Cricetulus griseus: one gene and its partners. The protein of the gene in region 6 interacts with the protein of the main gene of each other region in a pairwise test. Links are inferred from orthologs where the notes say so. Each region holds a gene or a part of one and is shown on either strand. Other genes may lie near its edges. The genes, in order: Tuft1, Cwf19l2, Psmb1, Arhgef3, Gem, Trim27 and Cchcr1.

The links.
Region 1: the proteins of Trim27 (region 6) and Tuft1 interact in binary tests that used the Homo sapiens proteins (3 or more experiments, as listed by UniProt). The two-hybrid records come from large-scale screens. The link is inferred for Cricetulus griseus from reciprocal best matches to the Homo sapiens genes TRIM27 and TUFT1.
Region 2: the proteins of Trim27 (region 6) and Cwf19l2 interact in binary tests that used the Homo sapiens proteins (3 or more experiments, as listed by UniProt). The two-hybrid records come from large-scale screens. The link is inferred for Cricetulus griseus from reciprocal best matches to the Homo sapiens genes TRIM27 and CWF19L2.
Region 3: the proteins of Trim27 (region 6) and Psmb1 interact in binary tests that used the Homo sapiens proteins (3 or more experiments, as listed by UniProt). The two-hybrid records come from large-scale screens. The link is inferred for Cricetulus griseus from reciprocal best matches to the Homo sapiens genes TRIM27 and PSMB1.
Region 4: the proteins of Trim27 (region 6) and Arhgef3 interact in binary tests that used the Homo sapiens proteins (3 or more experiments, as listed by UniProt). The link is inferred for Cricetulus griseus from reciprocal best matches to the Homo sapiens genes TRIM27 and ARHGEF3.
Region 5: the proteins of Trim27 (region 6) and Gem interact in binary tests that used the Homo sapiens proteins (3 or more experiments, as listed by UniProt). The two-hybrid records come from large-scale screens. The link is inferred for Cricetulus griseus from reciprocal best matches to the Homo sapiens genes TRIM27 and GEM.
Region 7: the proteins of Trim27 (region 6) and Cchcr1 interact in binary tests that used the Homo sapiens proteins (3 or more experiments, as listed by UniProt). The link is inferred for Cricetulus griseus from reciprocal best matches to the Homo sapiens genes TRIM27 and CCHCR1.

The regions. Positions count from the first base shown.
Region 1 is NW_023276806.1:61,778,974-61,782,473, reverse strand, and holds part of Tuft1 (tuftelin), read right to left. Parts: intron 2,347-3,500; coding exon 2,272-2,346; intron 1,902-2,271; coding exon 1,800-1,901; intron 1-1,799. UniProt on the Homo sapiens protein: Involved in the structural organization of the epidermis. Involved in the mineralization and structural organization of enamel.
Region 2 is NC_048597.1:118,076,406-118,080,623, reverse strand, and holds the start of Cwf19l2 (CWF19-like protein 2), read right to left. Parts: upstream 2,801-4,218; 5' UTR 2,778-2,800; coding exon 2,670-2,777; intron 1-2,669.
Region 3 is NC_048595.1:294,438,057-294,442,322, reverse strand, and holds the start of Psmb1 (proteasome subunit beta type-1), read left to right. Parts: upstream 1-1,466; 5' UTR 1,467-1,517; coding exon 1,518-1,627; intron 1,628-4,266. UniProt on the Homo sapiens protein: Non-catalytic component of the 20S core proteasome complex involved in the proteolytic degradation of most intracellular proteins. This complex plays numerous essential roles within the cell by associating with different regulatory particles.
Region 4 is NW_023276807.1:192,292,872-192,295,283, reverse strand, and holds the end of Arhgef3 (rho guanine nucleotide exchange factor 3), read left to right. Parts: intron 1-1,505; coding exon 1,506-1,855; coding exon of another isoform or gene 1,856-1,907; 3' UTR 1,908-1,912; downstream 1,913-2,412. UniProt on the Homo sapiens protein: Acts as a guanine nucleotide exchange factor (GEF) for RhoA and RhoB GTPases.
Region 5 is NC_048595.1:125,837,883-125,842,085, forward strand, and holds the start of Gem (GTP-binding protein GEM), read left to right. Parts: upstream 1-1,403; 5' UTR 1,404-1,560; intron 1,561-3,043; 5' UTR 3,044-3,052; coding exon 3,053-3,380; intron 3,381-4,203. UniProt on the Homo sapiens protein: Could be a regulatory protein, possibly participating in receptor-mediated signal transduction at the plasma membrane. Has guanine nucleotide-binding activity but undetectable intrinsic GTPase activity.
Region 6 is NC_048596.1:243,539,132-243,542,631, reverse strand, and holds part of Trim27 (zinc finger protein RFP), read right to left. Parts: intron 1,071-3,500; coding exon 955-1,070; intron 835-954; coding exon 802-834; intron 1-801. UniProt on the Homo sapiens protein: E3 ubiquitin-protein ligase that mediates ubiquitination of various substrates and thereby plays a role in diffent processes including proliferation, innate immunity, apoptosis, immune response or autophagy.
Region 7 is NW_023276806.1:229,456,643-229,460,824, forward strand, and holds the start of Cchcr1 (coiled-coil alpha-helical rod protein 1), read left to right. Parts: upstream 1-1,382; 5' UTR 1,383-1,397; coding exon 1,398-1,689; intron 1,690-1,695; exon of another isoform or gene 1,696-1,713; intron 1,714-2,240; exon of another isoform or gene 2,241-2,263; coding exon 2,264-2,415; intron 2,416-2,635; exon of another isoform or gene 2,636-2,700; coding exon 2,701-2,767; intron 2,768-2,983; coding exon 2,984-3,185; intron 3,186-4,182. Other genes in the region: Tcf19 (transcription factor 19), read right to left, coding at 325-562. UniProt on the Homo sapiens protein: May be a regulator of keratinocyte proliferation or differentiation.

The DNA of each region.
Region 1 (3,500 bases), on a different chromosome or scaffold from region 6:
ATGTAAAGAAGGGCTGGAGAGATGTCTCAGCAGTTAAGAACACTGGCTGGTCTTCCAGAGGACCCTGGTTCAATTCACAATAACTACATGGCAGCTCACAACTGTCTGTAACTTCAGTTCTGAGGGACCTGGCATCCTTGCACAGACATATGTGCAGGCAAAGCACCAATGCACATAAAAATAAATAAATCTTTTTTTACTATTTATTTATTTATTTATTTATTTATTTATTTATTGGTTTTTTGAGACAGGGTTTCTCGTGACTTTGGAGGATGTCCTGGAACTAGCTCTTGTAGACCAGGCTGGTCTCGAACTCACAGAGATCCACCTGCCTCTGCCTCCTGAGTGCTGGGATTAAAGACAAGTGCCACCACCACCCAGCTGATCTGGTATTTAATAAAAACAAAAACATAAACCCCTGGAATTTAAAGTGGTGATGGTTCCACAACTCTATAACAACAGTAAAAACCACTGATTGACTATTTTAACTGAGTTCACTGTGTCATGTGCAAATTTTCTAACTCTATATTTGTTCTAAAGTTAGTTTTAATTTTAAAGTATTTTTTATTTAAAATTTATTTATTTATTTAAACATGCATTGGAATTTTGCCAGTGTGTATATCTGTATACCACATGTGTCTGGCAGCTTGTAAGGCATTAGATCCCTTGAAGCTGGAGTTACAGACAGTGTGAGCTACCATGTAGTTCTGGGAATCAAACTCAGGTCCTTGGGAAGAGCATCCTGCTTTTAACCACTAATCTATTTCTCTAGCCACATATTTTTAAATTTTTAATTATGTATATGTATGTATGTCTGTATAGGAGACTGATGCAGGGTATTTGTTCACACTGAAACCCCAAAACTGCCAATAAAGCTTACTTTGAATCAGAGGACAGAGTTAGCAACTAGCTGACCAAAATTAGCCATAGAGGTTTTGGAGAACCCAGGATGGATGGATGGATGGATGGATGGATGGATGGATGGATGGAGAGACAGAGACAGAGAGAGAGAGAGAGAGAGAGAGAGAGAGAGAGAGAGAGAGAGATTTATGGGGGCCGGAGAGATGGCTCAGAGATTAAGAGCACTGGCTGCTCTTTCAGAGGTTCCGAGTTCAAGTCCCAGCAACCACACAGTGGCTCACAACCATCAGTAATGAAATCTGGTGCCCTCTTCTGGTGTGCAGGCAGAACACCGTATACATAATAAATAAATCTTTAAAAAAAAATATATATATATATAAAGGAAAAAGAAAGATTCAGGGGTCCTTTTGGATCAGGGAAGGAGAGAGAGAGGAGGTCATTGGTCCCTTCTCCCCTTCTTCTAGTGTTTTTATCCCGAATTTTTATTAATAATAAAACAATATAAGTAAAAGTTTCAGGAGACTGTGCACATGAGTGCAGATGCATGGGGAGGCCAGAAGAGGGCATTAGATTCCCTGGTGCTGGAGTTACAGGCAGTTTTGAGCCACTTGACACAGGTGTTGGGAACCCAACTCAGGTCCTCTACAAGAGCAGTAAGCACTCTTAACCACGGAATCAACTCTCCAGCTTCTTCTAAAGCTATTTTTTAAAAAGAAGAAAAACTGTTCATGCCCATGCCTGGGGCCAGGCTTGGCCAAAGTTGCTCACTGCAGGGTGGATTCTGTGTGTTAGGACCCCTGCAGGAGATGACCAGGAGCTAGCATCTTCTTGATCTCTCCAGTGGTTGTATAAGCTGTCAATCAGCAGCTCCCTTGGTGTACCTTCAGGGTGGGGATGCAGGGGGACAGAAAGAAAAGGAGAAAGTGGACTAAGCTCACCTTAATGATCTCTTCATGTCCATCATGGGACTCCACCAGTTCTGAAGCCAGAGAATGACCAGAGGAGCGATCAGACACCATGGCGTAAGTGTTCCTGCCCGCCTGCCAGAGAGACAGAGAGAAGCGACTTAGAAACCACACAGCAACCAGGACCTCCTGCCCTCCACCCACACAGAGCCCTACATGAAGCTTCAGTCTCATTTCTTTGCTCTGCACCCCCCCCCCCAAGAGCAGCCATATAGCAACAAGGACACCAGGCAGGCAATGTTAGTAGAAAACTTGAGTTAGCTTCCATTTTAGTGGGGTCTCCCACTTCCCAAAGCACTAGGCTGAGCTAGCTGGGTGGGTCTGAAAGGAGATGCTCTCAGGCTTGCAGCAACAGACATGGCTCCAGACAACACTAGGGTGAAGGGTCAGCAGCAAGGGAGAACTGGCTTGAGAGGACGCCTTGCCCCAACAGACACCGTGATACCTTCTGGGCTATGTGCTCAAGTTCATCTCCTGTCAGCTCACTCTGGAGGGTCAGCCTGAGAATGTCCACGCTGCCCTAATAATGACAACAACAGCAACAGTGACCCCTTACCTTTAACACCTACAAGAACAACCAGCTAAGATGTACTCTCTGTCAGGCCTTGTCCATCACCAAGTCAAAGACAAGTCCAGAGAAATGCTCTCGGCTTGCCCACTATAAGGTCAGCTTGGGTACTGGCGTGTCTCTGACAGTACCCTTTGTCCACTACACCTGACACTGACTATATAAGCATACGGTTCCATGTGGCCCCAGGGACCTACCGTGATTCTCAGATCACAAGAGCACAGGGTATCAATCCTCCTTCCCCAGAGAACAGAGAAATTATCCCCAGACAGTCATCTCCAAGCCAAAATTCTTGTTTGTTTGAAAACTGGGACTCATGTTGCCCAGGATAGCCTTGAACTGCTGAATTTCCTGCCCCCACTTCCCCCAAGCTGAGATTACAGGTGTACATAAATGCACTCGGTCTTAAAGCCAGAATTTCTACCCCTGGCAACCAGCTGGGAAGTTTTTGAAGCCTAGGCTATCCTTCTGGAACCAAACAGTAAGACCCTAAATTCCAAGTTAGGAATGGACACACACACACACACACACACACACACACTCACATAATTTCATCACTTAACAGGCTGAGGCGGGAAGACTATCAATTCGAGGCCAGCCTGGAGTATACAAGTAAGACGTGTCCAAAAAACAAAATAAGCAAATAGCAAACAAAGAAACAAAAACCTGAATCTAACTAAGCCTCTATTAGCCATATAAAAATGATCCAAATTATAAAAGGCAAGATTATGGGCATTTATTCTGAGATCAGCCTAATTTCAAAGGACAAGGGAGACATTCTTTCCTAACTCAGGGTAAATTAAACACCTGTGGGGACAACTAAAACACCTTAGAAAAGAAAACAAAAGTGAGAGGAAAGTAGGAGGCTAGAAATTTAGGATGCACAAGGGACCTAGCCATTCTGAGTCTCAGTTCGAATGGCAAAAAATAAGGTGTCGACAGTCAGAGTGTGAGGGCATAAGGGTGACAACACCTTTCCAAGGGGTTGACTATCAGAGTGTGACTCCATGAGGATGACAACACCTCTCCAAGGGGTTGACTATCAGAGTGTGACTCCATGAGGATGACAACACCTCTCCAAGGGGGTTGACTATCAGAGTGTGAGG
Region 2 (4,218 bases), on a different chromosome or scaffold from region 6:
ACCCCAATATTTTGTCTCAGAAAAAAAAAAAATCTTCTTAAAAAGATAGGATCATCTTCACCAAAGAAACTAGGAAACATGAAGGACTCTAAGGGATAAATGGACCCCAGGAATGGGAAGTGGCATGAACTCCTGAGCTAATTGGGAGCACAAGGGTAGGGGAGAGGGAACTGCCACAATAAGATCAAGAGAAGAGGAGTAGAGGAGAGGAAATAGAGGAGCAGAAATATTGAGTCAGGGGAAGAATAGAGGAGAAAGAGCAGAATGAGAGATGCCATATTAGAGGGAGCCACTATAGGTCTGAGAAGAGATCTGGAACTAGGGAGATCTCCAGAGACCTACAAGGATGACATGATCTGACAATCCAGGCAATGGTGGAGAGGACAACCTAAAAACCCTTCCCCTAAAATGAGATTGATGACTACTCTTTATGCCATCCTAGAGCCCTCATCCAGTGGCTGATGGAAACAGAGACAGACATCCACAGATACACACTGAGCTGAAATCTGGAATTTAGTTGGAGAGAGGGAGGAATGAAGAACAAAGGGGTCTGTACCAGGTTGGAGAAACCCACAGAAACAGTTGGCCTGAACAAGGGGGAGCACATCGACCCCAGATGCTAACTGGGAGGCCAGTACAAGAGTGATCCAGATCCCTGAACATAGATGTCAATAAGGAGGCCTCTGCACTCCAGGGAGCCTCTGGTAGTGGATTAGTATTTTTCCCTGGTGTAAGAAGGGACTTTGAGAGCCCATCCCACATGAAGGGTTACACTCTGGCCCTGGACACATTGGGAAGGGCCCAGGCCCAGCACAAGAAGATTTGGTGGACTTTGCAGAGCCCCCGTTGAGGGCTACCCTGCCTGGGGAGTGGTGGGTGGATGGGGTGGGGGGTAGGTTGAGGTGGGGGAGGAGGGATGGGGGTGAGGGGAGGGAGAGGGAGAAGGGACTTACATGTGAAACAAGCTTGTTCCCTAACTTGAACTAAGGAAAAAAAAAAAAAAGATAGGATCATACTGCTAGTTTCTAGTCAACAGTCAACAAACGCCAAACAATGCAAGGTTTTTTCTGCTTTCTCATCTACCTCTCAAACATCAAAGCTGAGTTTGGTCCTATATGCAGATCCCTATAAAATTCATTACAGTTTATAAAGAGTTTCCTCCCAAAACTTCTGGAAATACCAGTCAGACAATAATGAAGAATATTATTATATCTACTTTGAGATCAATGAAAAATCACAATGGTTTATTTGTCCGAGACCAGGTACTCACTCCCATAAAAATATGACGATCATTACTCATTCTTCCTATCTTTTCTATTCTTTATATACATTTAAACTTATTAAAACTTCTTCCCCTTAAGCCCCCCACCAAATTGTTACCAAACACTGTTGTTCTTCAACTACAAATTTGCCCTTTGTGCAGTCACAGTTTGGAAAAACTTATCAGATAATTCAATATTTACTTTTTCCATTTTTTATAAATTCCATATATTTCAATATTAATGAGAATTCTGTTTACCAAACTTTTGGGGGAGACACACATTCTGAGTCTCTTATGTTAAACAGTGTTTCAATCAGTCTGTCTGGTGTTGTGTCTCACTGTCATGAAAAACCGTAATAAACCATTTTAAATGCCCAGTGAAAGACAGACAGACAGTGGAGGAATGCCCACTGTACTCAAATGTTTCCCACTTCCAATAGGCCGAAGAAATGACTCGGTCTGCAAGACAACTGGTGTCTTCAAATGTGGTACAGTACATAGAAACTGAGCAATCCACACTCAAAGCACAAGGACATTTGCTCAGTAATGTTCATGGCAGCATTACTTGTAATAGCCAGGACTTGGAGTCAACCTGGATGCCCCTCAATCGAAGAATGGACAAGGAAAATGTGGTACATTTAGACATTGGAGTACTACTCAGTGATTAAACCAAAAAAAGAAAGAAAGAAAGAAAGAAAGAAAGAAAGAAAGAAAGAAAGGACATCTTGAAATTCGAAGGCAAATGGATGGAACCAGAAAAAAAAAAAAAATCCTGAGTGAGGTAACCCAGACCCAGAAAGACAAATATGTACTCACTCATGATTGGATATTAGACTTAAAGCAAAGGACAACCAGCCTACAGGCCACAACCCCTGAGAACCTAGAGGACCCTAGGAAAAGGAACTAGACAAGATCTCCTAAGTAAATAGGAAGAGTAGGGGCAGGAGGGAGAGTGGAAGGGGAGGGGAGAGGGAAGGAGAGTGGGGGATGTATTGCTCAATGTTTTTTAAACTGGGCAAAAAAAAAGAAAAAGAAACCTAGCGATCCAGGCGGCAGAAATGTCAAGAATAGATGACTAAAAGCTAAGGAACCCAATCACATCTCTCTGCAAAGGGAATGAGCAAAGCGAGCGGGCAGAGAATTTAGGAGACACTGCTTTGGGAAAACAGCTGACAGCCTGACATGGAGAAATACCGACGTGAGGAGAGGAGTAGGTGGACTACCTCCCGGAAGTGTCAAGTCCTGCAATTCTAAGTAACTTTCCGAGATCTGTCTAAGAGAAAAAACGACAGCATTTCAGGAACGAAAGACGGATTCTCTGGGAGAGTGCTGGCCTGAAGTGCAGGAAGCGCTCAGTGTGAGCCCTGGTCTTAAAAGGAGGAAAGAAAACACTCCAAAGCGGAGATACCTGGCGTAACACTTCGGCCCTGGCAATGCGGGTCCGTTCTTTTCGCTCTTCGATACTCCTAGCACTTTCAAATCTTCCACCCAACGCCGCCATAGTTGTAGCTGTCATAAAGCGAGGAAGCCGTCCGGAAACCTCAGTTTACGACTGTCGCAAAGCAGGAACCAAATCCTGGCCTGTTACTATGCCAACGGAGCAGGCGCAGATTGAAAGGCGGCAGAGCTAAAGGTTTGGTGGAACGTTGGAAGTCCGCCCCGCGGCGGGCGTTTTAGGTGTGCGGGGTTCGCTGAGTTAATAATCAGCATGCGCAATGATGTACCTTGCACTGTGCTAGCTCCTGTCTTATCAAGACTCTTACTATCCAGATATCTGCGTTCTTGCCTGATTTCCTGTGATGGTGCACCAGGCTAAAGGGACGCTAATCAGAAAGTCAGGAGAACGTGGGGGGAAAGGGAAAAAAAAAATTGCTCTAAGATTCACTATTTTTTTTTTGTTGGTGGGTGTTTTTAAATATATTGGAAACGGAGTTGGAGAGATGGGTGAGTGGTTTGCTCTTGCAAAGGACCTAAGTTCAGATCCAAAAGCCTTGTGGAGGTTCACAACCATCTGTAGCTCTATTTCCAGGGGACCCACCGCCCTCTTCTGGCTTCCACAGGCACTTCACCTCCTTGGTGTACTTAGATAAAGGCAAACAAAACACTCACACACACATTCACACACCCTGTAGAGGTTGAGAGTGTTGCACAAGCCTGAGTGCAGGAAGAGTTCTCATCATTGGGTGTGAGATGCATTGAGTGTAAGATTCTCTCTCATGAAGAAAGCTGGGTGTTGGTGGCACAGGCCTTTAATGCCAACACGGGAGGCCGAGGCAGGCGGATCTCTGTGAGTTCAAGGCCAGCCTGGGCTATAGAGCTAGTTCCAAGACAGCCTCCAAAGCCACAGAGAAACCCTGTCTCTAACCCCCTCCCCCAAAATAAAAAAGCAGGGACCTTATGTTTACTGCATCTTGCTTAAATAAGTCTCTGTATCAAAATACTAGTTCTTATCTGTGCTACATATGATTCGTTCACAAGGATGGTAATAGGAAAATTGAGATAAGCCATTTCTCTTTCTTTTTACCTCTGGCAACTCAGCAGAATTTAAAATGCCAAACTTCAACGGTTACACCCCTATGCCCCCCACCAAGTGCTATTGTTGATTTGATTCATTACATTTAGAAGGCTGCAACCTGCACAGATGTACCCACTGAGAGTAACCAGCCAATACAGAGCTGATTGGAAGGGCTGCTGCACCTGCTCACCTAATACCAAAGGCACCCATAGGAGCACACCATGAAATATACTGCAGCTGGTCTGCTGGTTTTCAGTAACCTGGCTTCTCTGTTAGTCAGAACTGCTGTGAAAGTTCATTTTGCTGTTAAGAAGCAATACTCACGAGCCTTTGTATTGCAGAAGAAATGAAAATGTCAGGAAACTAAAAACTAGATTTTGATAATTTCCCTCCTGACCTTCCCTGTTCCATATCCCAGCATGATGACCAGGCTGATATTGTT
Region 3 (4,266 bases), on a different chromosome or scaffold from region 6:
CTCAAGCAAGCGATCTGTCAATGAGCTACATCCTTGGCCTCCCATGGGTGTTGTTGTTTTGAAAAAGGGTTTCTCTGTGTAGCCTTGGCTGTCCTGGGACTCGTTCTGTAGATCAGGCTGGCCTCGAACTCAGATCCTCCTGCCTCTGCCGCCGGAGCGAGGGGATTAAGGGCGTAGGCTACCACGCCCTGCCAGTCGAATAGGATTTTGCACTTACAGTGTTACCCTCGGCAAGCTCCCTACATCCTCCACTTAACGCCATAAAGCTGAATGGTAGTAGCAGCTGCCTCCTAGAAATTTGTGATTTCAATGACACGAATAGCATACCCTCAGTGAAAGTTAACTGGTATCTGAAGAACGACAACGACACAGGGGAGGTGGAGTCACAAATTCATTTACATTTTAGCTCAGCGACGAACAGCTGACTTCTGGGCTGTTCCAAGAAAACAGCAGTTGTCTCTTAGGTTGCTTCTTAACGTTTGATTGAATTCCAGCGTATCTTGATTTCTTCTTGATATGGTTCACCTAGGCAGAAAGGAAGTTCTGCTTATTCCCTTTCCCTTGGATTTAGCACTATCAACGAGGTGATAAGCTCCTTTAGGTTAGGGGTGTGTGTGAGAGATGGATATTACCTGTGTGTGTTATGTGCCTAGGGTGTTGACCTCTGCATGGATTCTAATAAGTACAATAGTATTGGTTACCTATTTTCTTCTAAATGAAACATTCTCTCTTGGAAGAATAGTGAACCTTAAGACATTAAGAAAACTTAACAAAGGCCTGACAAGAGGCAACTTAAGAGAAGGAGGTTCCTTTTGGCATACGGCTTGAGGGGTACAGTCCACCATGGGGAAGCCTGACGTCTGGAGAAGGGGGGAGTCACACTGCATCCGCAGACCGGAAGTCTAAGGAGATGAATGTTAGTTTGCTTTCTTTCTTTTTTTCCCCCTCCTTTTTGTTCAGAAAGCCAGGCAATGGGATGGTGCCACCTATATTTAGGGTGGGTTTTCCCTTCTCAGCTACACTGTCCTGAAATCACCTGCATAAGCATGCCCGCGAGGTTTTACTAGGTGATTCTAGATTCTGTCAAGTTAATACGATCCATCAGGCTCTGGCTGGCGAAACCTAGTATCGCTTCCTGGATCGCGTGGCTGCGTATACCACACAGCTGACCATGCATCTTGACCACTAGGACTTGAACATAGCAGGAGCTGCAACTCCTCAAATGCCACTTCACCAATGTGACAATCGGAGCTGTCATTGCTCTGCAACTAGTTTTTGTTTTTTTGTTTGTTTTTGGTATGGCCATGAGTGAATCGAATGTTTTCTTGGGGTTGGAAAACAGGTCTCCTGGAATTAATTGGTGGACCCCAAGCTGGATATGTAGCGGGGCATAGGCACAGACCTCCAAGAGCAACGACGAGTGCGGGCTAGAGGAGCCCGGTGGGAGGGGCGGGTCGGGTCGGAAGTGGACCTGTCCCGGCGGCCATTTTGCTGTGAGACAGCAGGAGCGCGGTGTGATGCTCTCCACGGCTGCTTTCGGGAACCCCGAGCGGGAGCTGGGCATGGGGCCTCACGGCTCCGCCGTCCCTGTGCAGATGCGTTTCTCGCCGTATGCCTTCAACGGAGGGTAAAAGCTGGGCTCACCTGGGGCGGGCGGGCGGCTGTGGGGATGCAGCCTGTCGGGGCGCTCCGCAGCCCGGCTCCCGGAGCCCTGCACGGACGCCTTCGGGATCGCATGCTTCCCGCATTCCTCAGGGCAGGCGCCCACCCTAGCCCTCTGCTCCTAACACTGTCGTCTCTTGGGGCTTGAACACGTCCCCACAGCCAACGGGCGAGGGGGGCCCTGTCCTCAGCACTGATTTGTCCTGGTGGCTTTGTAGATCACTGTTTTGTTTTTTTTTTCTCTTAATGCTCGTTTGGTTTAAGTTCAGGGATGAAATAGGGGTTGTTTTGTTCTACTCTGCGACTTGGCCTGCTGGGCAGGTTCTGCTGAGCTGTGTCCCCGGCCTTAGACGGTTGACTATGTGTGAGTGTGTGTGTGTGTGTGTGCGCGCGTGTTCTGCTGAGCTGTGTCCCCGGCCTTAGACGGTTGCGTGTGTGTGTGTGTGTGTGTGTGTGTGTGTGTGTGTGTGTGTGTGTTCGTGTTCTGCTGAGCTGTGTCCCCGGCCTTAGACGGTTGCCTGTGTGTGTGTGTGTGTCGTGTTCTGCTGAGCTGTGTCCCCGGCCTTAGACGGTTGCCCCCCCCCGCTCTCTGTGTGTGTGTGTGTGTGTGTGTGTGTGTGTGTGTGTGTTCGTTCGTGTTCGTGTTCTTACTCTGAAATTGCTTGCGCCTTTAAATTATCCGCTTTGTTCGAAGGGATGTCTTCACCTCGAATTTAGGACCTTTGGCAATATAGGTAGTTTTCATCAATTTTATACCTATAAACAACCAATTATCAAAAAAATGTGGCTTGTTAAGAAAAACATTCAGGCAGTGGTGGTGGCGCATGCCTTTAATCCCAGAGGCAGAGGCAGGTATGGATATCTGTGAGTCGAAGCTAGCCTGGTCTACAGAGTGAGTTCCAGGACAGCCAGGGCTACACAGAGAAACCCTGTCTCGAAAAACAAAACAAAACGAAGAAGAAGAAAGAGGAGGAGACAGAAACGAAAAACAGTTGGGATAATCCCAGCACTCGGGAGGCAAAGGCCAGTCTGGTCTGCAGAGCCAGTTCCAGGGCTATAAGGAGAAACCTGTTTCAAGAAAAAAAGAAAAGAAAAAAGATTAATTATGTCTTTATGGATGCTGAAAATACACTATATAGGCAGTGAAATACTAATTTTAGCCTTGGTTGTGGCTTTTGAAGAACAAATGTGAGTGTGTGCTATGTGGGTTCCTTTCAGTTTCTTGAAATAATATGTTGAAAGAGACTCAAGGTGGTTACATTTTTGTAAGCTGGCTGCAAGCAGTTAAGGGAATATTTCATAGTGTTAGTCCTTGGCTCTTGGCATTTAAACAGCTTTGTCTAAGAGCTTGTTCGAATTAGAACCAGTTTTAAATTCTTAACTTTCGTTTTCCAGTGTTGGTCTTAACTCTGCATGTGAACACTAAGTACTTACATTGTAAGGCTTGTTAATAGTGTTCTGAGTGCAATACTCACTATTTACCTTTTAACCTCCTGTAGTTCCTCTTCATCTGTTACTTTCCAAACAGTTACTTACAGTTCTATTACCCCGCCCCCCTTCCTTTTAGAATTTTTGCAACTAGCCGGACAAGCAGCCTCTGGTTCAAAAGATGGTGTTAATTTCTCTTTGTAGCTTCCAGATTTTGTTACTGAAGACCTTTACATGCCTAATCCCTGGGAACATAATTCCAAAATCCATTTCTGTAACCTTATTTCTCAAAGGCCCCTACATTTTGACTTCTTTGGGAAAACATTTCTAAAGTGCATTTTCTGTTTTCACCGTAACTCATGTTAGTATAAAAACAAGCAGGGTGGTTATTCCCTTTCAGTCACTTCTGCTCCTTAAAAAGTGCCCCTTGTGATTATGTCATCACTCTGCCTATCTTGGGATGTTTTAGCTGTTTTTCCCACAAAACATATTTAGGTAGTTATAAAAACTCAGTTGCATACGTTGCCGATGTGTTTTCCTTTTTCTCCCTCTTCATCCTGCTTCCTATCTCATCACTCTGACTGGAACAGTATTGCTATCCCATTTCATATACTGTATTATTGCCAGAATTGTCTGAAAACCTGTTTCAAATGGAACTTTTCTCATTCTTGATTGTATAAGCTTTGGGACTCCTTGCTAAAATTGTAAAATTTAGCTTGGCACTTGGGATCTTCTACAACAGTTCATCACAGTGTGTATGTTTCTAGTTACACAAAGGATCACCTCAATTAAGTTGCTTGTAATGTCTTTTTACCTTCTGTTGCTGTTCATGGTTTGTGGAATGTCATCCTCTCTGCTTTAGTACAGAACTGGTTTCTGTAAAATACTGGGTAATGTTTCCTGGGTGTTTATTTCCTAGAAGGTTAACTATTGTAGGTACTTTAATGTGAATTATGTAACACAACAGGTACTGTCATTACCATCATGAAGAATTTATCCAAAGTCTTACAGCTATTAAGTGGCATGAATAGGCCTCTCCCTTAAGTAACAGTGCTCAGGTGCTTAGTCATACAGTACAGCCCCACCATATGCCACAGTGATGGTTGTTCACTTACTAGACCAGTCATGCAGCAGTCAAGTGTCAGGTGGACTTTATAGTTGTCAGCTCATTTTATC
Region 4 (2,412 bases), on a different chromosome or scaffold from region 6:
CGGGGGCGTAGCATCTTCTAGGTTACTTCCTGCTGAAACGGGACGAAGATGGTCATGTGGGGGCCCTGTGGAAAAAAAAAACGCTAGTACAGGGAAAGTCTCTAATGAGTTATGTCTAGTCCATGTTAGATGATTTGTTTGATTGAAGATCTACGTTGAAATCCTCAACTTGATTGAAGTCGTTACTCGAGGTTCTGGTTGGAGTGTCAGTCGAAACGGAGTGAGTTGAATCCAGTGTAGTCAGGAAGGTGTAGTCCAATTCCTTTTCCGGAGCATGTAGGGATTGCTGTCAGGCTGGGTCTTGATGGCTGTATGGGACTCAAACATAAGTGTCATCAGAGAAATGTTCGCTTGTTTATGTATGTGTACTGGAAAAGGTACCTTGATGAACCTTGACTAACAACGATTCTGAGAGGGTGTAAAAGAAAAGCCAAGAAAAACAAAGATAGTCCTCTTATTCTTTATTTATTCTGTATTATAGCAATTGGCTTCTTGATATAACACAGAAACTTTTAAATGTTGTTAAATAACATACTTGGATTTTAGAGTAGGAAAGCCAAACCCAACTCTAAATCCAGTCTCGATTTAGTTGAATAGGGACCAGGAAATGAATAGACATAGAGTTATTTGAGAGACAGCTGTAAATTTTTACCGTATAGCACGTTCTTTTTGTTCGATGGTTATAGCTACGTTCTTTCCTTGAGTATCCATACATGTAATGTCCTTCCACCTGGTACCTGCCCCAGGACTATTGGGCGGGGCTAGGGTTACTCCCTACACATAGTGGTACATGCCTAGGATCTTCATCCCAGCACCTGGGAGGCAGAGGCGGGTGGATCTCTGTGAGTTTGGTCTACGTAGTGAGTTCAAGGCCAGCCAGAACTACTTAGTGAGACTCTGTCTCCAAATAATAATAAAATTGATAATAACGGAAAAGACAGAGATTGACAGGGTTATTTATCTTTTGTTTTTCTAAGATAGGGCCTGTATTTTTTATTAAAATATAATTGTGCTGGGTGGTGGTGGCACACGCCTTTAATCCCAGCACTTGGGAGGCAGAAGCAGGCAGATCTCTGTGAGTTCTAGGCCAGCCTGGTCTACAGAGCCAGTGCCAGGATAGGCTCCAAAGCTACACAGAGAAACCCTGTCTCAAAAAAAACAAAAAAAAAAAGAAAAAAAAAGAAAAAAGAAAAACCAAAATAATAATAATAATATAAAAATATAATTGCATCACTTCTCCCCTCTCATGTCCTCTCCAAGTGCTTCTAATATTTAGGCAGGTGTAGTAGCCAATCACTTCAGGGAAACTGAGCTAGGCCTGTGTCACTCTAGTCAATTGAGAGTGGCATCAGGATAGAACTGACTGAGTCCTGCATCAGTAGGAGACTTTCTGTATCGGCAGTGTCTGATATGGGTCCCAGGGCTTAGTGCCGCTATGGGTGGTATCGTTAGCCTTGGCAAATACCTACCAATTGACTCTCTTTTTATTTGTTCTTCATTTCTAGTTAAAAACTTCTTCAGAGTCAGTTTCAAAAATGGATCCCAAAGTCAAACCCACTCACTACAAGCCAATGACACCTTCAACAAACAGCAGTGGCTCAACTGTATCCGGCAAGCCAAAGAAACAGTTCTGTCTGCTGCTGGGCAGGCAGGGTTGCTGGACTCTGAGGGAATACTCCTGGGTCCTGGCACTGAGAACAGGGAGCCACAAGGAGAAACAAAACTTGAGCAGATGGACCAATCGGACAGTGAGTCGGACTGCAGTATGGACACCAGTGAGGTCAGCCTTGAATGTGAGCGGATGGAACAGACAGATGTCTCCTGTGCAAATAGCAGACCAGAGGAAAGTGTCTGACAGAGGGCTGTGCCCATGTCTTACCTGTACAGTATTGGCATTCCACACATGAACAGTTTGGAGAGGCACGCTGTAATACTTCTGTGCCTGTGCACATGTGTCCCTTTGTCTGTGTCTTGTCCCTAGTACTGTAACAAGCCACTGATGCTCTGTGTCAGCTGGAGTCTGCAGCAGCCTTTCCTCCATTGCTTTATCTCATAAGCATCTGGATGAGTGGAGAGGGAGTGAACAAGTTACTTTGAGTTATCCTTCTGGAGTTTTCAAAACAGGAAGGATCTCTAAACTACTGTTGTGTGTGGAGTGCGTTGACAAGTCCTTTGTCCTATGCTTCTCTAGTATTCCTGTAGCTCTTCAACACAGTAGCTGAAGATCTGGAATTGAGAAAGCCTTGCAGAGTATTGAGATGACATTCAAATAAAAGCTAGGAAAGTCCAACCCTTGGAGTGAACTCGGGTTCCGTGTTATTCAACCAGAATACATGAAAACATCTCTGGGGGTTTCTGAGGTTTGACTTTGTAAAGGAGGAAGCTTTGTTTGAACCCTGTGGTTTCATCCAG
Region 5 (4,203 bases), on a different chromosome or scaffold from region 6:
ACTTGGTGGATGAAGAGCAGTATCCAGAGCATTGTGGTACCCAGAATGCACTTCCAGCTTGGCCATCTCCTCTCCGAGTGGCCTTCATCCACCTGGCTCTCAGATTCCTTGTGCATAAATAAAATTGTGCACTCCACATTTTTATTACTTGGTGGATTCTACCTTTGCCAGCTTGGTCCTTGACAGACCTCAGAAGCCAGTCACTTGCATAATTCCCAAATCAGATAGATGCCCAAGGAAAACTGGGAATAATCCATTGTACCCACAGCCTCTGCAAGAGACACTGGTGTTGCTGGCTGCTTCCCAGGCAACCCAGAGCAGAAGTTGGCTAGAGAAGCAGATGGATGTGTTGGACAGGCTAGCATGGACTCTAAACACAGCATGTGGGAAATGCCCATGTCCCTGGGAAATACCCAGGTCCTGGGGAAGAGGTCACTTAGTGGTGCAGGTAAAAAGTTACTCAAACTAGGTCCTAAATGCTGCCCCTGCCACCGGCCCTGATATCCTGCAGCATCTCTAGTTCCTCAATCTACGACTGTGGTAAGGAGCAAGGTCCCCGGGCCCACCAGTACCACAGGCTTTTGGAAATCCTAGCAAATGTTAATAGCAGTTGCGATCTTGTGTCCTTCACTACCAGGACTCTCAGGGGATTGGGCCTGATCATCTCCCCACGGCTGGGAAGCCCAGGCTCCAGGGCACAGTTCCAGCCATGCAGCTAGGTTCTGAGTTGCACCAATTGGGATGTGATTAAATTTCTGATTGAGAAACGTCAGCATTGTGGCCAGAACAGGAATGTTTATCGCAAGCTGTTTGGAGCCAAACTGCCCTTTCCAAGGTTTCCCCAGCTCTTTCCTCTGGCCCCTTCTCTTTGGGTCTCCAGCCAGAAGAGGGAAACAAAGTAGTGTGGTGCTCCCCTCTCCCCACCCCAGAGAGAAGGTGATGGGAAGCAGGAGAGCCCATTGCCTCTCAGAGCATGCTGTAAAACTGGCCTGCCCACCCAGTGTGAGAGTAGCCTGGAGGCAGAAGTCTTGCTCACTCAGGCTGATCTGCTTTCTTGGCAAAGCTGGACTCGCGGCAACTCAGGCTTGTCTCTTTCCCCATCCTTTATTCAGACAGCTCACAAGTGCCCTGCTGGGAAGGGCGATTAAGTAGCACTAAGTGTATTTTTCCAGTGTCCACCTGGTAAAAAGAAAATAAAACAAAATCAAGGAGGCCAAGGACTGAACTGTCATTTTTTTCCCTCTCTCCCCTCAAGGGGCGAGGGTAATCACATGACTGCTAGTAACTGATTTAGCCAAGTGGCTGCAACTTAAGAGTTTGCTGCAGCGCCGCCCCCTCCCAGCGGGAGCGCTGACGTCACGGAAAAGCCCTGTCGCGGGGCCGCCGGGCGTGCTATAAACGGCGGTGGCTGGCCGAGGTGGCTTTAGGAGGCGGCGCTGCCGGCTGATACCACACGGTCTCGGGCTGCGGAGCCAGCATCGCATCGCAGGCGGCAGGCATTGCAGCAGGCAGCAGGCATTGTGCCGACCGACTGCAGACCCTGTGGCCGGGTGCAACCAAGTAAGGGGGCATCGCGGAGGGGCAGTCGCGGTGGGAGCCGCGTCTGGGAGGGGAGTTCCGGGCCACTGAACTTTTTAAGTTGGGAAGGGAGCCCCCGGACCATGAGGTCTGTGCCGGAGGTTCTGCCATGGGAGAAAAGTTCAGGTGCAGAGGACATACTTCTCATGGGGGTTCCTTGATTCAGTCCCGGAGGAGTGTCACCTTAAGGATTAGGTGGCCAGGCGGCCATCAATCAGGGACTGTTTTTATGACTTAAAAAGAAACCGACTGGTTCTGGCTAGTGGCTTAGGAGTTGGGGTGTGGAGTAGGGTGTGTGAGCTCAGTGCGATCCTAGCGCTCGCGCGGGGCGCTTGCTGAGTTAACTGCTTCTGTGTTCTCTAGGGAAGTCTTGACAGAACAGACTTGTCAAGCAAGGAGGTGTTGCAAGGAGAAAGTAGTAAGAAGTTGTTGAGTGTCTTTTCGTTGAGTCTTTGACCTTCTGATTTACCTCAAGAGGGTGGAACATTGAGCTAACTAAATAAATTTTGGTGTAGACGAGGTTCGTTAAGAATGAAGCCCTTTCTGCACAAGTTGATGTGTGCAAATGTGAGCAGGTCCTGCCAGTGTGAGAAGGACTAGGCTCAGGGCTAGTATGCTAAACAGTATCTGTGGGCAAGAGGGCAGAGGTAAGGCATAAACCTTAAACACAAACTGCCCCACTCCCAAGTAATGTTCTCTTCAGGCAGTTGGAGAACATCAGGGCAACTTTACTAAACATGGAAGTTCCCCCAAAGTGCCTGTCCGGTCCAGCCAGGGGAGTGATGTCATTGCCACGTGCCTCCCACTGAGGCCCCAAAAGCTCCAAGACGCTGGTGCAATTAAGAGCCATGTTTAGACAAGAGCAGCTAACCTGGCCAGCTGGTCCCCAGCAACATTGACTTGTTGCTGATGGTAAAGCCATTTCTGGAGGCAGTGGGTTCCTTCCAGCTGCCTCTGTGCCACCTCCCAGTGGGATTTTCAAAGTTTCTTTAAGGATGGAGGTTGCTTATAGGCAGTTGGTGATGTTATTGGAAATGCAAATGACAGCCTGCCTAAGAAGCTGCGTGTGTATGTGTGTGTGTGTGTGTGTGTGTGTGTGTGTGTGTGTAAGATTTGCATGCTAGGGCCTTGGGGACTGCTTCATGGGTGCTCCTTATATTAAGAATGCTTGCTGGGTGTTGGTGGCCCACACGTTTAGTCCCAGCACTCGGGAGGCAGAGGCAGGAGGATCTCTGTGAGTTCGAGACCAGCCTGGTCTACAGAGCGAGTGCCAGGATAGGCTCCAAAGCTACACAGAGAAACCCTGTCTCGAAAAACCAAAAGAAAAAAAAAGAAAAAAAAAGAAAAAAAAAAGGATGCTTAATTCATACCAATCAAATGGAATGCCACTGACAACAGTATTTGGACTTCCTTGGGCCTAGCTCATCCTTGCTAATATTGGCATCTTGACTGCTTTGCTTCCTAGGACCCCACAATGACTCTGAATAATGTCACCATGCGCCAGGGCACTGTGGGCATGCAGCCACAGCAGCGCTGGAGCATCCCTGCTGATGGCAGGCATCTGATGGTCCAGAAGGATCCTCACCCTTGGAACCTCCGCAGCTGCCGCTCTACCACTCCTGAAGACCACTGCCGACAGAGCTGGTCCTCCGACTCCACAGACTCTGTCATCTCCTCTGAGTCAGGAAACACCTACTACCGAGTGGTGCTTATAGGGGAGCAAGGGGTAGGCAAGTCCACCCTGGCCAACATCTTCGCAGGTGTACATGACAGCATGGACAGTGACTGTGAGGTCCTGGGAGGTAGGTGGGCTTCTGTCTTGTAAGCTGAAAAAGCAAAAGTGATTGGGTCATTTTTCTGCAGAATTGGAAGCCAGAATTGGAATTACAGTTAATTAGAATTACACTTGTAATTCCAGCACTGGGAAGGCAGAGGTGAAAGTACTAGGAATTCAAGGTCATCTTCTGCTACATAGTGGCTTTGAGTTTAGCCTGGGCTGTGTAACTCTGTCTCAAAAAATAATAAACCAAAACAAAATGTATCTTCAGAATTAGGAGAAAATGAGATACTTGATACTGAGATGGGTAGCAGAGGCCAACCCTAAGTCCCAGCATATGTCCTCAGGACACAAAAGAAAAGAAATGAATAAGGTACACAGCACCAAGATCTATGACCTGAGCCATCGAGGGACTTTCTGAGGTCAAGTCTTCGGGGTCCAGGGAGGTGGACCCTGACCTGGACTACTTTTCAAGAGCTGACCAGTACAGACACCTTTTCTGTGTTTATGCATAAAACCAAACTGATTTCAGGGAAAGAAAAAAAACCTGTTGGAGTGCATCAATTAGCTTGTGCCCATTGATATTAGAAGCATTTACAAGTATAATTAGGTCAAACGCTATACTTGAAGTAACATAATAATTTAAAAAAACTGAAATATAAAAATGATGAAAGATGCCCTGTGTAGAGTCTGATAGGTTTTCCAGATGATTTTCTCTGTTTGGTCTTATTTTGACTATTTATTTATTCAATCCTTCTCTAATTCTAGACATAGTTTATAAAAAGATATACAACCACAGGTAATAGCTTTATATTCTGAGGTGGAAATTACCGCTCTAATGATCAGTT
Region 6 (3,500 bases):
CTGATCAGCTGCCCAAGTATTAGGTTTATGGGCATGATTATTATGCCTTGCTCATGGAAGGATTTTTAGGGCTAGAGGACTTGGGAACCCTGGCTATACAGATAACATGTGTGAAGTTGGTAGAACACAGTATCAGACTAAGTCACAATCAAGAATTCCACCTTCCAGAGAGCCGCCAGACTCTGCAAAGGCAAAAGTTCAAATGCACGACATACATATTTATAACTCTTAATTTGTACAAACCGTCTGCTGTAGAGGCTGAGTGGTTCAAATGACACCCACTGCCATCATTAATTTATGTGGGATTTCTAGTTGGCCAGGGATTTCACACAAGAGTCTTTGAAGTGTCAAAGGAAGAGGAAGAGAAATAAACAAGAATCAGAGTGAGGAAAGCCACTTCTGAACTAGCCACTGAACTAAATGTAGTTGTGGAGTGCAGGGATGGCACATCTATAATCCCAGAGGCTGAAGCCCTGCGGCAGCAGACTGGTGAGAGTAGGCTAGACTGGGCTATACATTAAGACTGTCTCAACAAAACCCAAACTAAAACAACAATAACAATAATCAATAATGTGAGATAGGGAAACATATGCATGATGTATGTGTGTGAGGGATGACATAAATCATACTGCACAGGTAAGAGTCTGGTCTCTCCTTACACCAAGTTCCAACTTCCAAACTCAGGTCAACAGGTTTGTACTTACTCAGCCATTTTGCTGACCTGACCCTCCTGAACTCTCAATATACTCAGCTCTTTCCAAGAAATAAAATATCAAGAGCCCAGTAGATAGGCAAATTTACCTTGGATTTTCTCCATATCTGACTGCATTTTTTCTAAGGACAAAAGAGAAGAGATTCAGTTTATATTACTCTGTTTCCATTGGGAAATACATTCTCAGATGACAATAACATACGGATATCAGAATATAAACCCACTTCATCTCCTCATATTACCTGTAAACTGCTTCAGACTTTCTGTCAAAAACAGACATTTTTGGGCAAAAATGTGGATTTTCTCTTGTAGATCTGGAGGTGTGATCCAGGGCTCAGGGATCCTGATTCTTTCAGCCCTAAAATAAAACAACAAACCCCATATGACTCCTTTCCCTCAATTCTCCAACTTCCTAAGGCCCTGGCCAAGACCTAGCTAACCTGTCTCACACTGTAGGATCAGCTACTACAAGCTTTTATACTGTTCCTCTAAATCACTGTTAGAGAAGAAAGTGAGATATAACCTTAGTCATTTTCATCTCTCCCAAAGCACTGGCTCATGGCTTTTCAAATACTAAGCCTTAAGTGGGTGCATTGACTCTTCCCTGCAATTCCAGTCCTTAGGAGGCAAATGCGTATAAGGGATCACTGCTTGCTTCAGGCCATCTAGGGTTACAGTGGATCTTGCTTTAAAACTTACAAAACAACTAGGCAGTGGTGGCACATGCTTTTAATTCCAGCACTTGGGAGGCAGAGGCAAGCAGATTTCCCAGTTCCAGGTTAGCCTGGTCTACAGATCTGAGTTCCAGAGTTACACAGAGAAACCCTGTCTCAAAAAACTAAAAGACAAAAACCAAACCAAACAAAAACAACAACAACAAAAACCCAAACCAAAACAACCTTCCAAAACAAAGCAGACAGAAAAGAAACTTTTCAATATCAAAATAAATTATGAAGCTGATCTTGCTAGAAAGCAAAAGTTTCCATGACAAAAAAACCTTATGGGAAAATATCTAGAATTTTCAGATTCCCAAACAGAGAGAATTCGAGAATACCATCTTTAGAAAGAGAGGTGCGTGTGAGGGATAAGACCCAATTTCCTAACCACTAAAAAAGGGACTGTATAGCACAGACTTGCCTTCTCCCATCTTCCACACACATTCTAACTTATGGCTGGTCAATCTTCCACCTGTGACCTTATAACTGAATTATAGCTAATGAGAGATTAAGAAGCATCTAATAGAAATTTAAAGGGTCAGGGAAGATAGCTCATCAGGTAAAGAATCTGCAGCTAGAGTATTCCCTAAACTCACACTGTAAAAAAAGAACCAATCAATTTATCCTCTGATCTCTGCATGTGTTGTGGTGTGTACTCATCCATCATGTGTGTGAGACCACCCATGTACACACACACAAAAATGAATAATTTTTCTTTAAATTTGCATAAAGATCATTTTAGCATTGTAGCAGCTTTGTTGGTCTAAATGAGGACCACACTGCAAGCATGGTAAAATGGGAAGGAATTAGCCACCATACCAACTACAGAGCTATCTGTAGCTATATACACATTATAAAATTGTTATTATGCTTAAACCTTAGGTCAATGAAACTTTAGATTTCAGAACTCATAGAGCCAAATCTATTTTTTTCCTATAAAAAAAAAAAAGAAAAAAGAAAAAGTAGAGGCCCAGCAGGCAGTGGTGGCACACACCTTTAATCCCAGCACTGGGGAGGCAGAAGTAGGTAGATCTCTGAGTTTGAAGTCATCCTGGTCAATTGAGTTCCAGGACAGCCAGAGCTACACAGAGAAACCTCTCTCAAAGAACCAAAAATAATTAATTAGTTAATTAATTATGAATTTATTTTTATTTATGTGTATATGTCTGTGTGTGTCTCTGTAAGGTTGATGGCTTGCCATCCCAGGCCTGCATCACAAACCAGAAAATAGAGCAGGGCACATGGACTAGTGGCAGAGCGTATTTCTGGCATGTGAAAGGCCCTGGGTTCAATACCTGGTACTACAGAACAGGGAAAACCAAAACTAAACAAACTTCAAAAAACCCCCATACAAAACAAAACACAAAACTGGGCATTATAGATCATGCTTATAATTTCTGTGTTAAGAAGATGGAGCAGGAGGATCAGAATTCATGACTAGCCCACTCTAGAAGACCTTATCTCAAAACCAAACCAAAACAAACTGAAATCTATCAGACAGAGACTTATTTTCTTAGCCACCCAACTGGGAATGGTAGAACTTCCAGTCCCTCTGCATCTCAGGAGCTCTGAGAACTATAGTTATCTGCATACATCTCCCAGCCAACCCATCAAACTGTATTTTCCTTTAAAGGACTTTAATCAACCTCCAAATTCAGCTTTGTCAAAGTCAGTCTCATCCTTTAGGCATTCCCATATTAAATATGGTAATCTTTCTAAAGCCTGAAGCTATCCTACAGCTTTAACTGTCTTGTCTTCTTGCCTGCTCCAAAATCTCCCTTTCCTCTGGTCTGCTCTTCCCTCCATTTCTAGTGCATGGCTAAGGCAAACACATGCCATACCACTGAGCTACACTCACTTTCCACTTGACAGCACAGTAGAGAAATGACTATAGCCAGAATCCATGTGACCCATCAATGCATCTTCCTTAGGCCTTATTTCCCCCATTATACTAAAGAATGAGATAAGAAAATGGGAAAAATCTGCAATTTGTAGGAAATAAGAGTCATAATCTGCTCTTGTACTCTTGTCAAGCTTTGGAAGTAGTGCCTTCACACCCAAACCACAGCACC
Region 7 (4,182 bases), on a different chromosome or scaffold from region 6:
GCCTTGAGCTGGGAAGGAATGCCTAGGTCACTAGAACACCGCCTTAATGGGAACAAGGAGGTTCAGCAACCCTGGACACTTGAGTCAAGTGTGAGCATAGTGCTAGAATGTCCACTTTACTGATGACACCCCAGCGCCTCCCTCCTAGCCCTGTGTGAGCTAAAGCAGCCGGGCAGGTTAGTCCTGCACAGCTCTCATGGGCAGATCAAACCGGATCCTGCTTGTCTGCTCTACCAGAGATTGACAGGGACTCTGGGAGGCAGGTATGGAGTCCCAGAGGCTCCCCTACTCATGCCATCCTGGGGCTGCCTGCTCACCGCTTACCTTGACTGCTGTGGTCCTCCAGGCTGACCCGCCAGTCGTCCCCTTGGAGCTCAGCGTGCAGCAATGCATGGACCCCAGAGATGAGGCCCGGCTCCTGCTGGGGCCGCAGGGCCACATCACACAGGTCAGCCCTGCAGCCCAACCGATAGGTGCAGCCTGACCTGGACGGGGGGTGGAAGGTGTAGAGATCACCGCCCCTGCCGCCCCCTATGCGCAGCAGCTGGAAGCAGGGCAGCATGGGGGGGTGCTCCCCTCTGCACCGCTTCTCAGCAGTTCATCACCTCTCCTACTCCCAGGCCATGCACCGGGGGCTTCGGTTCAGTTGTCTGACGTCAGCAGCCCCACTGTGGGTAATGCCAACTTGAGAAACACAGATTTCCAAGAGCGCCAGAGGCCTGGACACGCATGCAACCGCTGTAGCTAGCGGCTGTCAAGATGAGACTTCAAAAGCAATTCCGGAGAAGCCCTTTCGCGATGCAAAACCAGGAAGACGTCCTGTGGGACCTCCGTGATGCCGGGTCCTCAGGCCGCAGAATATCCGGGGAGGCTGTAGCAATCTGTTCAAGGCAAAGCTACTTTAAGCGGCAGCTGGGGACACCCCAGCGGGGTGAGGAGGTCCCGCTACACGGACGTGCGTGCGACACGAACGTGTCCCCTCGAGTGTAAGCAGGAGCCGGGAGGGAAGCCTACAGGTCAAACTTCCTAATCCAGGTAGAGCACCCCTTCTGTCCTGCCCCGAGGGAAGGGAATCCGCTGTCACCCACAAAGGGCGGCGCAGACAGGTCCCTAACTCTGCAACAAGGTGGAGCTCACCCTCTCCTCTTGCGCTTGCGGGGTGCCCCGAAGAAGGACTCCACACCCTGTGCCCCTCGCTCCCGCTGCGGTTTGACAGCCAGGAAGCCGCCCTCCGGAGGGCGCGGCTCGGGCGGGCGAGCGGGCGAGCCGGCGGGCGCGCACCGCGCAGACTCCTCCTACGGAATTCCCGGGTCCAGCTTCGCGCCTGCGAGCCCGCGCCCCTCCCCAGGCTGTCTCTGATTGGCCATCTGACTCGCCCTCCTCCGCTGTACTGGACGATGCGCAGGGAGGGGCCGTCCATCTCCCGCCCTCCGCCGTTTCTGATTGGCCTGCAGGTTTCCCGGGTTCCCGGGATGGGGCGGGGCCGCCAGGGCGCGGAGAAGGCCTGGAGGAGTCAGTGTGCCTGCGTGCGCCGTTCTTCTTCCTTCCTCCTTCCGGCAGGCGGGGCGAGTTGGGGCTTTAGAGCATCCCGCCAACCCCACCCGCCGCGCGCATGCGTGCTCAGGGCGGGAAGCCTAGCGGGGAAGCCAGGGGCTAAGGGGCGTGGCAAGAAGGCGGACCTCGCGCTGGGTAAGGAGCGTTCGGCCGGAGTCGGTTGGTTGGGGGCGGAAAGGGGCCTGAGAGGGGGTGCTCAGGAGGGTGGAGGGGGTCCACAGGGCAGGAGGGGTGCAGGAGCCCGGTGAAAGAACAGATGAGGAGGTCGGGGCAGCCTTACAGCTCAGGGTCCTAGTGAGGGGGATGAGCCCGTGGGTGTGTGCAGGAGAGGAGAGGGCAGACCTGAGGACAGCGAGCGACCGGGACCATAACGTCAAGAAAAATGCAGAGTAGGACTAGGAAGAGAAGCGTGTAGGGATCTCGTTGAGTGGAAAACAAACAAACAAACAAAAAATTTGAGTTCGGACGGGAGTTGGACAAAGAAGATGCTGCAGGACTCTGAGCAGCGAAGGGCTTCGGGAATGGAAGCAGAGGGGATAGAGAGAAACTGAGGCCCGCTGCAGGGAGACTCCGATGAGATAACAGGAAGCTGGCTGCCTGGCAACGCGCTCCAGGCTGCTTGCATTCCCTGGGGATCCTAGGGAAGCCGCTTAACCCTACATGAGGCCCCATTCTTCTGGTGCCAGGCCTTGGGCTAACGCTTTTGTAGGAAATGACCCAGAAATCATGGCGCGGTGGTGCCTAGATGGGTTTCCCAACGTCCCTACCATACCATGGCGAGAACTGTGGAGACGGGGTTCACAACAGGCCCGCTCACCTCCAGACCAGAGCTACAGGGATCGTAGACACTTAAGGAGGAAGGTAAAGGCACCACTCACAATCCTGTAGTAGAAGCAAAATCCCCAAGAGCATCCCCTGGCCCCCATCTCGGTACATTTACCCCATGATTGTTGCCTGGTTCCTTTGTCAGGAGCGTGTGTTCGGGACAAGCAAGTCTGCCTTGTTAGGGAAGTAGGGAGAGAGAAGCTCAGAGCTGGGCAGATCTGTCAGTAACTGAAGGATTGTGGCTTTGTTATTATAGGACTTCCTCTTTGGAAGGTGGCCTGAAAACTGAACTGGAGTCTCCTTGTTTCTCCTACTGTCCAGGGGAACCTACACTCTTGCGGACAAGATCGAGAGGCTTCAGATAGAGTGGAGATGTTGTCTCCCTCAGGTCAGTAAGGCCAATCAAGGAGGCTGGGAAGTCTCTCTGTGTCTCTCTGCCTCTGTCTTTCTCCCTCTCTCCCTCCCTCTCCTCTCTTTCTCTCCCTCTCTCTCTCCTTCCCTTCCTCCCTCCCCCTCCCTCCCTCCCTCCCTCCCTCCCTCCCTCCGTCTTCCTCTCTCTCTCTGAGAAACTGACAGTCTTTACTCTTGTGACCCACCCCCTCAGGTTTTGCTGGACTGGTTCCTCCCTCCCACTTCCAAGCTCGGCCGAGAATGGCCCCGACCTGGGCTTCAGACATTCCCCAGTTCCAATCCACATTTGACCAAGATGTCCTAGAGAGGCGGCAGCTGGACTCTCAGAGGCCCACAGTGACCATGAGGGAACAGGATGTCTATGGAGATGGGCAGGGGCCAGGGCAGAGAGGCAGGTAGGGATCTGTCAATCACCTTTTTCTCAGACTTGCTAATGATCCTTTATACACACATTCCTTTATTTCAGCAGCCCTGGGTTCCATAACTTGTGTGGTTTTCTGTAGGCCATTGTTGGTACCTACACTGCATATACCATTATGCCCTGGAGAAAATCAAGAGAGAGGAGAGAGAGAGAGAGAGAGCGCGCGCTCTGGACTTAAATTCCCAATTAACAAGTGTTGCTAGAGTTTCTTTTCCTCCAGGTCCTGCCACCGCTTCAGCCCCAAATAAACACACAGACACTATATTAGTTATAAAACAGTTGGCCAATGGCTAGGGCTTCTTGGTGGCTAGCTCTCTCTTCATCATTAACCCACTTCTATAAATCTATGTATTTCCACGTGGTCTTGGCTTACCAGAAAATGCCCAGACCTGTTACTCCTTTGGCAGCTACATGGCATCTCCTCCCTGCATCTCTCCCAGGGTTCTCCCTGTCTCCCTGCCCCACCTATCTTCCTGCCTCTTTTGGCCAAACAGTGTTTTATTCATCAACCAATAAAAGAAACATATATACTGAAGGGCATCCCCCATCATCTCCTCTTTTCTGTCTAAATAAAAAGAAGGGTTTACTTTTACTTTAACATAGTAAAATTATATATAACAAAAACAGTTATCAAGTAAAAACATATAGTTAACAATAAAGAAGGAGTGTAAATGTCTGAGGGAGGAGATGGATTGCCCAGAAGCCATTGTGAAACGAAGTGACATGCTGGCTCTTAGTTAAAAGGGCCTTTCCCGGCATACACCACTGGAGCTGGCTATGCTCGGCATATGTGGTTTAAGATTTTATTTTTGAGCCGGGCATGGCCTGCCTTTAATCCCAGAGAGGCAGACAAGCAGGCAGATCTGAGTTCAAGGCCACTCCCTCCCTGGTCTACAGAGTGAATTCCCTGACAGCCAGGGCTACATAGAGAGAATCCTGTCTGGGGAAAAAAACAAAACAAAACAAAAAAG